Linked DNA regions of Pelodiscus sinensis. The protein of the gene in region 1 interacts with the protein of each later gene in a pairwise test. Links are inferred from orthologs where the notes say so. Each region holds a gene or a part of one and is shown in the gene's direction. Other genes may lie near its edges.

The links. The genes of interacting proteins can lie anywhere in the genome.
Region 2: the proteins of ATXN1 (region 1) and USP54 interact in binary tests that used the Homo sapiens proteins (3 or more experiments, as listed by UniProt). The link is inferred for Pelodiscus sinensis from reciprocal best matches to the Homo sapiens genes ATXN1 and USP54.

The regions. Positions count from the first base shown.
Region 1 is NC_134712.1:107,835,975-107,843,012, reverse strand, and holds the start of ATXN1 (ataxin-1), read left to right. Parts: upstream 1-4,033; 5' UTR 4,034-4,190; intron 4,191-5,732; exon of another isoform or gene 5,733-6,054; intron 6,055-6,374; exon of another isoform or gene 6,375-6,621; intron 6,622-6,679; exon of another isoform or gene 6,680-6,828; intron 6,829-7,038. UniProt on the Homo sapiens protein: Chromatin-binding factor that repress Notch signaling in the absence of Notch intracellular domain by acting as a CBF1 corepressor. Binds to the HEY promoter and might assist, along with NCOR2, RBPJ-mediated repression. Binds RNA in vitro.
Region 2 is NC_134718.1:3,916,564-3,923,808, forward strand, and holds the start of USP54 (ubiquitin carboxyl-terminal hydrolase 54), read left to right. Parts: upstream 1-4,245; 5' UTR 4,246-4,441; intron 4,442-5,258; exon of another isoform or gene 5,259-5,278; intron 5,279-7,245.

The DNA.
Region 1 (7,038 bases):
TTACAATAGGCTGATAAGAACAATTAGCACCTCCGTTGTTTCGTTGTTAGGTTAAGTCATAGGATGTGGAAGATAGTGTGCGAGCCAGCTGATGTCCTTATACCATTGGCATAAGAATTAAACTTGTAAATGAAGTTAAGTTCCAATCCTTCCCTGTGTATTTGGCTTGTGGAACTGGCCTGAAATAAAACGGTGACTTGGAGATCCATTAATGAGTGGCCAGGTAGATTAAAGTGTCCTCCAACAGGTTTTTGTGTATTGCCTTTTTGGATATCTGATTTGTGTCCATTAATTCTATTCTTGGATCTGGACTACTAATACTCCTGTCATCTGAAGAAGTGGATTGTGCCCATGAAAGCTCATGATACCATCTACATGTTTTGTTAGTCTTTAAGGTGCTACTAGTGACTAGTCTATTTGTTGTTTTTAAAGTTATTCCTGTTAAAGACCAACTCGGCTACTCCTCTGAAGTACTAACTATAGAAAGTTCCAAAGAGCCAGAGAAGCAAACCCTAAGTCTTCATCCTGGAGTAGTTAACATTCACTTTCTGAAGCAAATGACTCTGCCTCCCTTGAGGTTGAGGTCTGCACTTCTTACTCTATCAAAACTCCCAGCTGAAGTCGATAGGGCATTTTGCCTGAATAAAGATTGAAGGATTAATCCGGCCTTTTGTGCCAGTTGTTTGGAAAGGTCACATTATGTCCCTGTCTCCCAGCTCTTCTGCATTAATTAAGGGTTCTTGTACTTCGTGGTAACTTGGACATGTGCTTTGTGGCAACGTTCCTGGTTGCTGTGGAGGCTGGAAATTCTGCTGCAGCTTTTTTTTTTAATGTAGCTGTGTAATACATCAAATATCAAAATTAACAATGCAATTAGTGCAATAGCTTATTTTAATATTAAATTCAGTTTACTTTAAGCAATCTTCCTATTTTGGGGTTTTTGTATGCTAAAGGTTTTTGTGATGACAGCTTATAACTGCCCTAGAGAATTTCTCAGAATATGATGAAAGAGCAGCAGCTAGGTAAGGAGCTGTTGGAATTACTGCTACCTAGCAGTTTCGATTTGTGGCACTTCCCAAAAGCTGCTTTAAGGTTGTCTGCAGACTTAGGAAGACAACACTGCATCAATTTATGCGTTAGTCATGAGGTCTAGAAATATACTGAGAGATTTAAGAGCTGGAGTCACAATTCTGCAGCAGAGTTTCTCAAGACTGATCTTACCATGAGGCAAACTGAGGCGGCAGCCTCAGGTGTCAAACTGTAGGGAGGCGGGGGGCAACACTAGGAGTATGTCTAGACTACATCCCTCTGTCGACAGAGGGATGTAAATTAGACATGCCAACATTGCAAATGAAGCGGGGATTTAAGTTTCCCGTGCTTCATTTGAATAAAAATGGCCACTGCATTTTGCCGAGTCAACAGTTTGTCGGCAAAAAGCGGCTGTCAAGATGGGGATCGGGTGATAAAGAAAGCCTTTGTCGGCCAATGCTGTAAACCTAATTTTAGGAGGCATAAGGGATTGGCCGACAAAGGCTTTCTTTGTTGCCCGATCCCCGTTTTGACAGATGCTTTTTGCTGACAAATTGCTGAGTTGGCAAAACGCGGTGGCCATTTTTATTCAAATGAAGCATGGGAGATTTAAATCCCCGCTTCATTTGCAATGTTGGCATGTCTAATTTACATCCCTCTGGCGACAGAAGGGTGTAGTCTAGACATACCCTAGGACTCAGAGTGTAGAAAATTGTGTCTGCTGCTGGTGCATATGTATTCTCTGTGCAGTATCATGAGAGGAGTAAAACAGGAAGAAGGCAGAATTGAGAACTTTCAAAGTTTTGGCCCAAGCAAGAGGGCATGGGGCCATCATTTGAGCTCCCCGCCTCAGTTGCCAAAATGTTGTGGGCCGGTCCTGGCGTTTCTGCAGCAAACTGTGCAGCTAAAGAATAGAGGTGTACACCGGACTCACATTCATCTGCTGCAAAGGAGGAGGTTGCTCTGAGTTTGCTTCAGCTTGAATGTGGCTACTTTTTATCTGCGTGTGCCACACCTATTGGCAAGGTGAACATATTAGAATGAGAGATTCCTTTCTGCTGAAGTAACACCCTGAACTAGAGAAATGAAAAAGGTAGCGGGAGCGGGAGAATACAGCACATTCAAAACTGTGTCCAGCTGAAGGGGCTGAAATATCATTAGAGGCAGTGCTTTAAAGTGTGTTTATGGGATGAAGGATTGCAAGGGATTGCAGACCCAGTCAATAAAAAAAATTGTTTTAATCAAGCCAGATCACTGTGGGGGGCATTTTAACCACTGCCCCCCCAAAGCTGCTTCTCCCAGATTATAATATACCTTTCCCCCCCACACTACACTTTTCCAGATCACTTTAAGAATTGACTAATGCTTTCACTTGATTTTCAGTAATCCACAGTCTCTCTCCCTCCCTGCCTTTGATTCAATCAATGAATCTTGCATTAACAGGGTGAGGATGATGTTGCTGTCTGCTCTGCTGCTGCTGTTGCAGATTCACTGCTTTGAGGTGCTGAGTTGCATGTCTGTCCAAATGTCTTGGCCTGTTGCTGTTTCTTTTCCCCAAAGATCTCATTAAACAGAAAATGTCATCAGGTTACATATGGACTCTTAACTAAAGTTTCAGTCATTGTAATAATAAAGGATCCTTATGCCTTGTAAATCTATTTTATATGGTATACACTATTCTATTGCCTATTGATCAAAACCATTGCCTCTTTGAATATTTTTATTATAATCTTTTCAGCTATTATGTTACAAATATACCGCATATTTCTTTGTATAAGGAATTACCTTGCAGACCCATCAACAGAAACTGACAGTTTAGAGTCATGCATTTTTTTACATGTAGCCACTGGTGCGTGTCTACACTAGAGAAGTGCCATATTATAACTTGTCCAGATGTAAGTGAACTGGTGCAAGTTGCAGAGTGTCACCAGTAGTCATCCCATTCTGGGTACAAACACTACTCTGGGACCATGCACAGCACTCCTTACAAGCATTGCATGGCCTGTGGATTATTGCACCTATCCCACAAGGCCCAGCACAGCACCCTGCAGCATATGCATAATGTTCATAGTATACAGGAGAAATTTATACCTGATCACATTTTTGGTTTGTCCCATTGCCCACTTTGAATGGTTTTGTTTTTCATCAGAAACTGCTTGTGCATTGTGAGGGTATGTTGCAACCCTGGCATTGAAACACACTGGTAAGTATGCCTCTGACAAGTAATCTTATGTCCAGATGAATGTTAGTCTTTAAGGTGCCAGAGAATTCCTTGTTGTTTTTTCAGATACAGACCAACACTAGTTAATCTACCTGTCTGATATTGATAACTTTGTTCCTAGTCTCCCTTTGTGCTGATCCAGAGGTGAAGTGTCCAAGGTTGTTCTTCCATCCTAAGCAACATGTCAGTGTGTCACCTTACACATCAGTCACATTTGGCCCAGCTACCCCTCCATCATGATGAAGGAGCAGCTGGGCCAAATCTGAGCAAGTGGCATAGTGACCTGGCACACAGGGTCATGGTGCCTCTCAGGCTTGGCCCAATTACCCCAGCATCATGACTGGAGGGGACAGACAGGCCAAAATCTGTCACTCTAGGCAACTGCCTAGCTTGTTTGTATTTAGAAAGGCATGTGTCTTTATATCCTCAAACACAGAGCTTTATCTCAAGCTGTATCAGCTTATGCCTTTAGTTCTGAAGGTTCCCTGGTTCAATCTCTAGTGTGTCAGCTAAGAGAGACGCTCTCATGCTATGTCCTCATGTGTGCTGATGCTCAGGCACAGAGACATTGTTTCTTTCAGGACCCACTGCCTTCATACCTCCTCCCACCTTGCGTCCTAATGTTCTAGGAGGTAAGGAACTTGATTTTGTCACTTCTTCAAGAATATTTTTAGTTTTGAATTTTGCTATTCTGTTCCTCTTTGTCAACTGAAGTCACAAGTTTCTTTCTCTTCTGTTTTCTTCTGGAAATCATAGACAGGAGTGATCCAGCCCAGGGAGTTAACAGAGAAGACATGCTTTTGGGTTCTTCCTTGCTTCTGAGCATATTATTCTCCCACCCACCGCTTGCGATTTATAGTAATGGGTCTGCTGAGGCCTGTGTCATTTCTTGAGGGGAACAGAACAGTGGAACAAGTGGAGGCCGGAGCCTCATGGAGAGGTAAGTGGTAAATTGCTTTACTTGGGGGAATAGTTGGAAGAGGTTCAGCCTCAGGATAAGTGTAATCTGCATAGTGTGTATTAGGGAGTCCAGAACGTGGTCAACACCTAAAAGTATCTGGCTATACAAAGTCCACATCTGCCTGTGTTCTTGCCGTGTAATAAGGGATCTGAGTAAAAGTCATTTGGGGTTTGATTTAGGTGGTAGGCATCTTTTTCCAAGCAACTCCAATAGGAACTGAGGATTTGTCCCTGGAGGAATAATACTAATTAGGAAAATGACCCCCTCAACTCCTCACTGAGTGGCTGATCTTCAGCAGTCCCTTAAATTAGCACTCTCTGCCACTTCCAAAGGACAGCATGCAGGCATCTCCAGCAGGCTCTCCTTTGATCACTTTCATTATTGTTGACAGAGTGCTATGAGATCCCCATGGACATGAGGCGTTAGAGTAGCACAGGGGTTTTCAAACTTCATTGCACTAGTACACATTCCAGGAACCAAAGCCTGAGCTTGCTTGAGCCCTGCTGGTCTGAGTAGGGGGACCAATGCTACAGTCTGAGCCCAGGGCTGTCCCGGACGAGGAGGGGGGGGGCATGAGCCTGGGGCAATCCCTCCCCCACTGCCCCAAGTGTGGAGCCCAGGGCAACCCCTATGCTGCAGGCTCCACCCTGTCCATTCCACGAGCCCAACCCCTGCTCTACACACTTGTCCCCTCCCGTGAGTGGCAGCAGGAGTCACTCCCCACTCATTCTGGAAGTGGGAGCTAGAGTGGCCCTGCAGCCTGTTCCGCCCCCAGCCTGCTGTGCTTTGCTTCTCTGCGGCAGTGGGCAGCAGAGTGCCCTAGGGCCAGGGCAGTCTGCTTCGTACTGCTGCTGAAAAGCAGAGCACAGTTGGCTGGGACAGTGCAGCCTTGTGGAGCAGAGCAGGCTGCTGGGCTGCTCTGAATCCTGCTGCTGCGATGAGTGCGGGAGAAGGGGGTGACCCATGCTGCCCACCCTGCACAAGGCTCCCCGGTCCCTCCTGTCCATAGGATGGTTGAGGTGGCCGCCATGGGGCTCCTCAAAGCAAAGGGCCTGCCACCACCAATCGTCCATATGGGTCTGCCTGAGTCCCACCATCTCAGGCTGGTGTGTGCATGTGTGCGGGGGGCTGGGGGAGGGAAGACACAGCCCAAAGGGCTTCAGCCTTGGGCAGTGTGGCTTGTGCTTCAGCACTGGCCTCAGGAAGTATAATCTGAGCCCAGGTGACCCATTAAACCAGGGTCACGGTCCACTTAGGGGTCCTGAGCCACAGGCTGCTGAGTATTTTTTGTAATTGTGCTTTTGAAGGCAAACGTTGCCTTTAGAGTGTGTGTGTGTGTGTGGGGGGGGCAGCCTCACCCCCCTGCAATTCCCTCCACACACATCCCCGTCTCCTCTAAACTGGGAAGAAGCCCTGTAAAGGGTTAAGCCTGGTTTGGCCCGGCTCTGTGGTGCGTATGCAATAATCTGTGTGGCTCTCTTGGCCGCCTGCCAAAGTGTTGCCGTGCCTCCTCCTCCTCTTCTCCTCCCTTCCCCCGTCCCTTTTGCATGAAGTAGGATCCTTGAGCTGTTGCAGAGGCAGCCAACTGCTCCATATTTGGCTTCTATTACACATTTACATACTGGAGAGAAGAGGGAGAGAGCGCTGCACCGCAGACATCATTTCTACTACAGGCAGTGGTGGAGACATCCAGGACCTGTGTCACTGCAGGGGGAAGGAGGAGGGAAAAAGCAACCAAACAAACCAACATCCCCCCCCTCGCCTTGTGATCAGCTAGCAAGACTGTGTGTGTGTGTGTGTATGTGGAGTCCCGCTCTGCCCCCATCTCCCCTGACACTTGGCAGTAAGTGGCTTTTTATTCCTTCTCTGCTTTTTTTTTTTTTTTTGCTTCTCTCGTTTCGATTGGAACCCCCCCCCCCCCCGGTGCTTTCCAGCTGGAGAGAAACAGGGGGGGGGAGTGGACTGCACTCGCCACCCCACAGAGGGTGCTTCAGCCTCCCTTACTGCAGCCCGGCCCGACCCCCCAGCTCTGGGAAGCCTGGAGGCCAGAAAATGGCTTGGCGATCCTGGGGGGAGGGGAGGCACATTGGGGGGGGTGGTGGCTGGAATGCATCGCACTCCGTGCATGCAAGCAATGTCCGGGGGGAGGGGGGGAAGGAGGCAGGGGGAAGGAGGGGGTACAGGCACGGAGACAGCCGTAGCCCCTGGGTCTGGGTTGCTTTCAGTCAACCTCCTTCCCCCCACCTCCCCCCCGCGCAACGGGGAGGAGAGCGGACGTGTGTTTGCGCGTTGGGGAGAGGTGGCGTTTTCAGGCTCGCTCGGCTGCTGCCGGGCTCTGGCCGCGGCTGCCCCGGGTGCATTAGCCGGCGCGCAGGCGAGCGAGAGCAGCTGGAGTTTTGCGCGGCGCCGGGTGTGTGCGGGCTCCGAGCGCCGCCGGCCGGCCCGTGCTGCGCCGTGTAGTACGGGCTGGGTCAGGCTGGCTGCCGGAGGGGTGAATGAAGCGGGGAGGCGGGGGAGGAGGCGGCGCTGGGACGGGGAACGCGCTCAGCAGCGGACCCACTACGCTGCACTCACGGCCCAGGCCGGCTGGAGACACCAGCAGCTGGCACTTCCAGCAGTGAGTGAGGAGGGCTAGTGCCGGGGGGGCGGGAAGGTCAGGGGAGGCCTGGGTGTCCCGTTTTCCCCCTTCACACCGTCTGCAGAGCCTCTCCTGGTCTCATCCTCTTCCAGTCCCTGTAAGAGAGATCTGGGGCTGGCTAAAAGCAAAGAGACCATTTAGCTCCTCCAGGAGGGGATTAGCAACAGCCTCTGGTGCTAAAGAATTGAT
Region 2 (7,245 bases), on another chromosome or scaffold:
TGCCCCCGGCTTCCCCGATTCAGCTGCTGGTCAGTTTCAGCAGCGGCTGAATCGGGGAAGCCGGGCGCAGAGTAGCTCCAATTGTCCCGCTGCCCGGAGCACTTCCGGGTTCCCTATGGTGCCGGACCATCAGGAGTGCCAGAGCATTGGATGCCGGACCAATGGAGTTTTACTGTATATCTTCTTCCCATTTGCTAGAAAGTTCTTTTGCTGTGACTAGGGTCAAACAGGTCACATTGTATAATGGTATCTCTGAAAGATTTCTATTGCCAGCAGTTCCTGGGATAATCCTTGCGTGTGAGAGCATTTCCTCAATAAGCATTAACATTGTTTGACCTTTATACTGCTGTACCTGAAAGCCTGCTTGTAGGCATTTTGAAGCTTACAGCATGTTTCAGTAACATCTACACAGTCAAACTTCATAACTTTACATACAACAACATGTGCAATCAAGGGAGATATCGTCCAGATGAAGACTTTTAGAATTATACCTCAAAAGACATACTTTGTACAAAACACATCCTAATTATACGACAGTGGTGAATCTTAGGGTGTCAGAACAGGTTCTGAATATCTCTGGATTTTTTCCCTCTGTTTTTCCTGTTCAAACTTTTTTCTCTTCTATTTTTTCTTTAAAAATCCCCAAGAAATTAAATGCAGAAAAAGTTGCATTACCTCAAATTTAAGGTTGTCCACTTAAAAACACAAAAAGGCAAAAATTTAAGTTCCAAGATCAATGTGAACTCAGTTATATTTAACATGTACCCTTTCCTACTTCTGGTTTTCCTATTCGATATATAGCTTAGTACATATCCATTAATATTGATAGAGGTGCTGGATCTAAGAGTGCTGGGGACAAAAACACCCATGGCTTGAATTGTTTTCCATCATAAACAGAGGATTTACAGTTTTGTTCATTGATTTCAGCACCCGCACTATAAAGATTGTGCCAACATGACTGAACGTTGGAAAATGTGTTGTAATATGTGATGCTACAATGTGAGTTAATGTTGCTGTTGGAATCAACTTTGCATTCTCTTTTGCATCAATTTCTCTGCACAGCTTCAGTATAACACCAAGATAGTTGTGTACATTTGAGAATACAGCCCTTAATTTAATTAGGTTTCTGTCTTCTCCAGTTGTTGCTGTTTATTATTTGTATTTTGGTTGCATCCTGAGGCCATAGCTCTAATTGGGGCTACATTGTGTTAAAATGCCTTCGAAATACAGAGATTCTCTATGTTGAAAAATGGGATTAAAAAGCATGAACCTTGCTGAAACCAGGTGTCACCATTAAGTAGAACTTCCCCCCTACAAATAGACACCTGCTCTTTATTGCCTCCCTTTATATATATAAAAAAAGAGCATGTAGGGTGCTATTATATAGAAGAACATGGACAGATTAGCTAAACTAGTTTATTTTCAGTCCTTTGAGTAAAAAGTGAACAATCCATTAAGATCAACATACTATACTGACTAAACTAGTTTGAGAGCTAAAATGCATGATGCTCTCTAGCTAAATATGTCAGGAGCATCAGAAACAAAATAGCCTGTTACTTGTCAGACATGGTCTATTTTTAAGCAGTCAACATTCCATAGTCAGTGAGCAGGCTTCCCAAATGGGCAGGAATTGAAATCAGTTCTCCAGGAGAATGAACTTGATCCTGGAGTTTGGTAGTAGGGCCTTCCTTACAAATTGTGGTGCTCTGTGCAGCTTGAGCAGCTACTCACAAACCCCACAAACGGAGGCTGGTCATGGGGGGGCCACCCCCTGAGGAAGCTGTGTTCAAGGACTGCATGCTTGTGGGGGCAGGAGTTGTGGAAGGCAGCCCCAGGATTGCCGGGGACAGGAGCAGGGCAGGGAGGCTGGTGAAGAAGCAGGTGGGAGGTGCAGATGCCACGTGCTATCTGAGCTGCAGGTCAGAGACAGAGCTGGGGACACCAGCACAGCTGGATCGTTTCCATTTCCACCAGAAGGAGAACCATCTGGTCAGTGGTGACTGGGTATAGTCCATGGGGGGGGGGCGCTGGCTGGGAGACGGGGCTGACTGCTGGTACCATGGCATATTCAGCACACAACTGCGAAGGGCACCACAACATTTGGGGCTATGGTACCCCAAACTTTGTGGTGCCCTATGCAGCTGTGTATGCCTAGGTATGGCCCTGACTGCAGTAAGTATAAATCCACAGGGACCTAAAGGAAAATGATCTCCCCTTCCATTACCTAAACACAAAAATCATTTTAAGTTCCATTGAGCATAGAAGCCATCCTTGCTCGCAAAGGAGAATAGAAGTATTGCAAGCAGAACACAGTGCACTCTGCTGGGCACTTTGTTGCTTTCCTAGAATATGAGAATTGCAGAACTAGTGTTTGGGTGTGAGGGCCAGGGCTTGTTCCTAGCTCTGCCCTGGGTTCACTATCCCAGTCATAAGCAAGTTAAAACAAAATACAGGACTATGTAGCACTTTAAAGACTAACAAGATGGTTTATTAGGTGATGAGCTTTCGTGGGCCAGACCCACTTCCTCAGATCAAATAGTGGAAGAAAATAGCACAACCATATATACCAAAGGATACAATTAAAAAAAATGAGCACATATGAATTGTATCCTTTGGTATATATGGTTGTGCTATTTTCTTCCACTATTTGATCTGAGGAAGTGGGTCTGGCCCACGAAAGCTCATCACCTAATAAACCATCTTGTTAGTCTTTAAAGTGCTACATAGTCCTGTATTTTGTTTCAGCTACACCAGACTAACACGGCTACATTTCTATCACTATAAACAAGTTACTTCCTGTCTCTACACCTCAGTTACTCTATAACAGTGCTTCCCAATTGGTGCTCTGTGGAACCTTAGGGTTCCACAAAACAAAAGCAAGAGTTCTGTGAAGAGCCAGCACTCCATCACCCCCTCTTAAAGAGACAGAGCTGCAGAGGGGAGGGATAGCTCAATGGTTTGAGCATTAGCCTGCTAAATCCAGGGTTGTGGGTTTAATCCTTGTGGAAGCCATTTAGGAATTTGGGGCAAATATTTGTCAGTTATGGTACTTGGCCCTGCTGTGAAGGCAAGGGACTGGACTCTATGATCAAGGTCTCTTCCAGTTCTAGGAGATAGGCAATCTCCATTAATTTATTTATTTAGCAGGAATTGCAGCACCAGGGCTTTTTTTTTTTGCTCAACAAAATGTGGTGGCAGGGCTTTTTTTGGTAAGGAAACCATAGGGGTCCCATGGCCAAATAAAATTGGGAAACACTGCTCTATAGCATAGAGATAATGATTTGTAAAGAGCTTGAAATTTTCAGACACATTGAACACAAAGTATTATTAATATTACTACAACACTATTTCCAGGCTAGAAAAACCATTTGTTTAAAATTGAGTAAATTAATGCATAGTATCCCCTTTCTTCTGCCAATACATTTTCAATTTCAGACTCTAGCAATCTGGATCTGCAAGTTTCCAGTTCTAGTCTGAAATTAGTTTGCTTGTCAGAACACTTATACAACTATTCACTGTTTAATCATTCATTTTAAAATGTAGTTAAAGTCAGTAATACAAACTATGCCTGGATTTACATACTGTACAACCCTCTTGATTTTAGTGGATGTTAATGAGGGCAAAATTTGACCCAATATGCTCAGACTGTTACAGAAAAATAAAAGGGACTTTTGCCGAAGGGGAGCAGCACAGGATTTCCGCAAGAAGCGCGGATTTCTTGCAGTGGGAAGTCAGTGCTTCTGTGGAAATTCAGGCGGCCAGTGCAGACAGTGGCAGGTTTTTCTGGAGAAGCGGCTGATTTTCCGGAAAACCTGGCCAGGCTAGACGCAGCGTTTTAGCGCGTTGCTGGGAAAAGAGACTAAGCCTTGTTAAGTGTCCTTTTTAAAGGCCACCCCCACCGAGGAGACACTGCGGGGGAAGGCAGCCAGCAGGCTGCAAGGGGGGGGGGGGAGACACGCCCCAGGGCGACCCCTCCGGAGCTGCGCCCCGGCCCCGCCAAGGGACCTGGCGGACGACAGGACGCTGAGCGAAAGGCGCGGCGTGGCAGGCGCCTGGGCGGGAACATGCGGCCCCCGCCTCGCCTCTCAGATCCCGAGAGCGACACAGAGGAGGCGGGTCAGAGGCGCCTCCTCATTCCCGCCCTCAGCGCCTCACCTCGGTAGCCACGCCCACTGCGCGCGCCGCTCGCCGCCATGTTGTGGTTTCTACGCAGTTGCTTTTCCTCTAGGTCCGCCTCTGGTCTCGCCCGCTTCCTCGCGAGAGCTGGGTGGTCGGGGCGCGCTCTCTCCCGCCCCTTTGCGGGGTCTCGCGGAAACGAGGAAGGATTTGGGCGCGTTCTCGCGAGAGCTGGTTGCCTTGGCGCCCCGTAGCTATAGCAGCGAGGGGAGGGGGCCGAAGCGGGGAGGATGCTACAGGCTCCGGCGGGACCCGGCTCTGGCGGGTAAGTTGTTACGGCAAGTGCTGCCTGCCCGGGCCCGCGCGGCGGAGAGCGGCTTCTCCGGGGGGCCCTGTCGCGGGAGCGAGCTGGGCCCGTCCCGCCCCTCCCGTGCCCAGGGGAGCCTGCCCCGCCCCCAGGTCCCGGGGAGTGGGCCGGGCCGGGCCCCCAAGCGCCAGTGAGCGTGTGAGCCGGACTCGTCCCGGCCGCCGCCTGCAGGGCTGGAGGGGCCGGGCCGGGCGGGGCCGGGGGGGGGCTCGGCTCCGGGCCGGGGCAGCGCCGGGCGGGGGGGGGGGGGGCTCGGCTCCGGGCCGGGGCAGCGCCGGGCGGGGGGGGGGGGGCTTAGCGCCGGGCGGGGGGGCCCGGCTCCGGGCCGGGGCAGCGCCGGGCGGGGGGGGGGGGGGGCTTGGCTCCGGCCCGGGCAGCGCCGGGCGGGGGGGGGGGGGGGGCTTGGCTCCGGCCCGGGCAGCGCCGGGCGGGGGGGGGGGGGCTTGGCTCCGGCCCGGGGCAACGCCGGGCGGGGGGGGGGGGGGGGGCTGCTGGCGTGGGAAGCCCGGCGTTGCCCTTCCGGCAGCTTGTAGCCGCTGTCGGTTCCCAGTGCGCTGCATTCGCCGAACGTGGGGCCGGTTTGCGGCTTTTATTGGCCAGAAAAGATGCTCGGAATCGGACCTGCCTGGTACGAGCGAGGGTGAAGCCGCTAGAAAGGATCCGGCTCTTTAAATCTGCGGGAGTGCACTCAGTACTTGCCGAAGTGGGTTGAAGTCCGAGCGAATGTGTTTAAGCCAAGGCAGAACGTTGCGTGGCTCTACCCTGCGTTCACATTGCAGCTGAGAAGAGTAATGTGTACGTTTAAGTCTCTGAATTTGGTGAGCTGTGAATAGCTAAAGGGGAGTGAGAATCTCCCCCACCTCCCAAATGAGTTTCTGAAACTAAGAATGTCTGCTGTCAGGCGGGAATCTTGAAGTTTAGCACCGCGACTGTTAGCAATTAATTGTTGATAAAAGAAGGAAACAAAACTGCTTCTTAAGTTCTAGGTTGAAAGAAACTGGTTAGAAACTAAAAGCTTGTTTCCTTTTTTGGGGTGGAACTAATGAATGGGGGAAAATGGCTTTTCTGGAGGGGAGAAAGCTATCTGGCTTTGCAGGGCATGATTTTGTTCAAATCTTATTTTTCTATGCAAAGATTATGACTCTCTTCTGTAGATTGAGTATTAGAGTCCTAAAATAAACCAAAACAATGCACACCTCCTGCGCTCAAAAAGTTGCAATCATCATGGTTTTCTGCTACATCAGTAAGTGAGGAGGGAAGCTGTTATGGATATTAAAGGGGTGTGTATAAATTTTCAGCTACTTTTTGGTATTACAAAGCAAACTAAGGCACAGTATTTATGAAGATGTATACACATTGAAAGGAAAACATAAAAAAGCTTCATTATATGATCATTTCTGGGGAAATTTGAAAAACAAGTAATTTTAGAATAATTCTAAAATCAAATTTATTTAAATATAATTACTCTTCAGTCTCAAAAAAGGAGCCAAAACAGAAAGGTTCCTTGTTGCTATAGATTGGACTTGGAATAGCACTTGAATATCATTAGAAAATAAGAAAATGAAGAATTAACAATGACTGTTTTTTTTCTCTAGAAAGAAAATAAATTGCTACAGTACTGAAAATTAAACTGGTGAAATAATGCATAACTTGAACAAGAAAGTTTTAAAATATAATTGACACAGAGCATAACATGAGCTAAAATAATGTGAAACTGGCCCATGCTGAGTAGTGCTCATTTAGTTGGTGAAATTAGTAATATTAATATCTACAGATTGGACTCTCCAAGAACTTCTGTTGAAGTATCTAATCAAATTTGCATTGTGTGTTCTTTTGTATTTAATTAAATATTTGTTGTCCTGTTCACCTCTAGGTGGTGCCTGTCAGGCAGGTTTGGTTCCCATCACTCACTGAGTCCTCCTCTTATTGTCAAACTTGCTCACAGTTATAGGCTTAGTAGGGAATGGTGTAATTTTGCTGTTTACACTAGTGACCAGCTGAAAAAGATTCTATATTAATACTCTGTAGCCAATAAATGCAAAAACATGTTATGCTGTCCTCCCTCTGTTTTGGGTTATGTAAGCATGTTGGTGCATCTTGGGGCTAGAGCCATAAATCCATTAAGATGGATAATGGAAATTTAAATCCTCCTTTATCTAACCTTCATGCTATTGAACATTAAATCTACTTATGTGAGTTTTAATGCAGAATACTGTGAATGGTGAAAGTGTTTCTAAGGATTAAAAAACTTGCTATTCTGCTTTCAGGCTATAGTTAACTCTCCGTCCCTATGTTGCATTTATTTTTTGTTTCATTACAGTAGCTCCATCTGAGCAGATGCCTGAGATGGGCCACACTGAGTGCCATACTCAGCGCATGCTGCAAGAAACACTGTAGACAATCCCCAAAACCATGGTTTATTTTATATTGGAGTCAGTGAACCAATAGCAAAAGAACTTCTATGGTATCACACTGGTTAACAAGAAACTAAACACAATCCCTATAAGACACTTAGCCCTTGGCTCCAATCGAGGCAAGCAGGTCTAATATAATGATAAGAAAAGGAGAGAGCTCTTGAATGGTTAAGGAATCATTTACAGTAATTCCTCACTTAACACGTGCCCACTTAACACATTTTTGCGATAGCATGATTTTTTTTAGGGAATGTTTTTTGAATTACACGACCATCCATCCCCAGAATAACACAATTTCCCCAGCCGGCCCGTCGCTGGCGGCTGCGCGGCGCTTCCCCCGCCTCCCTG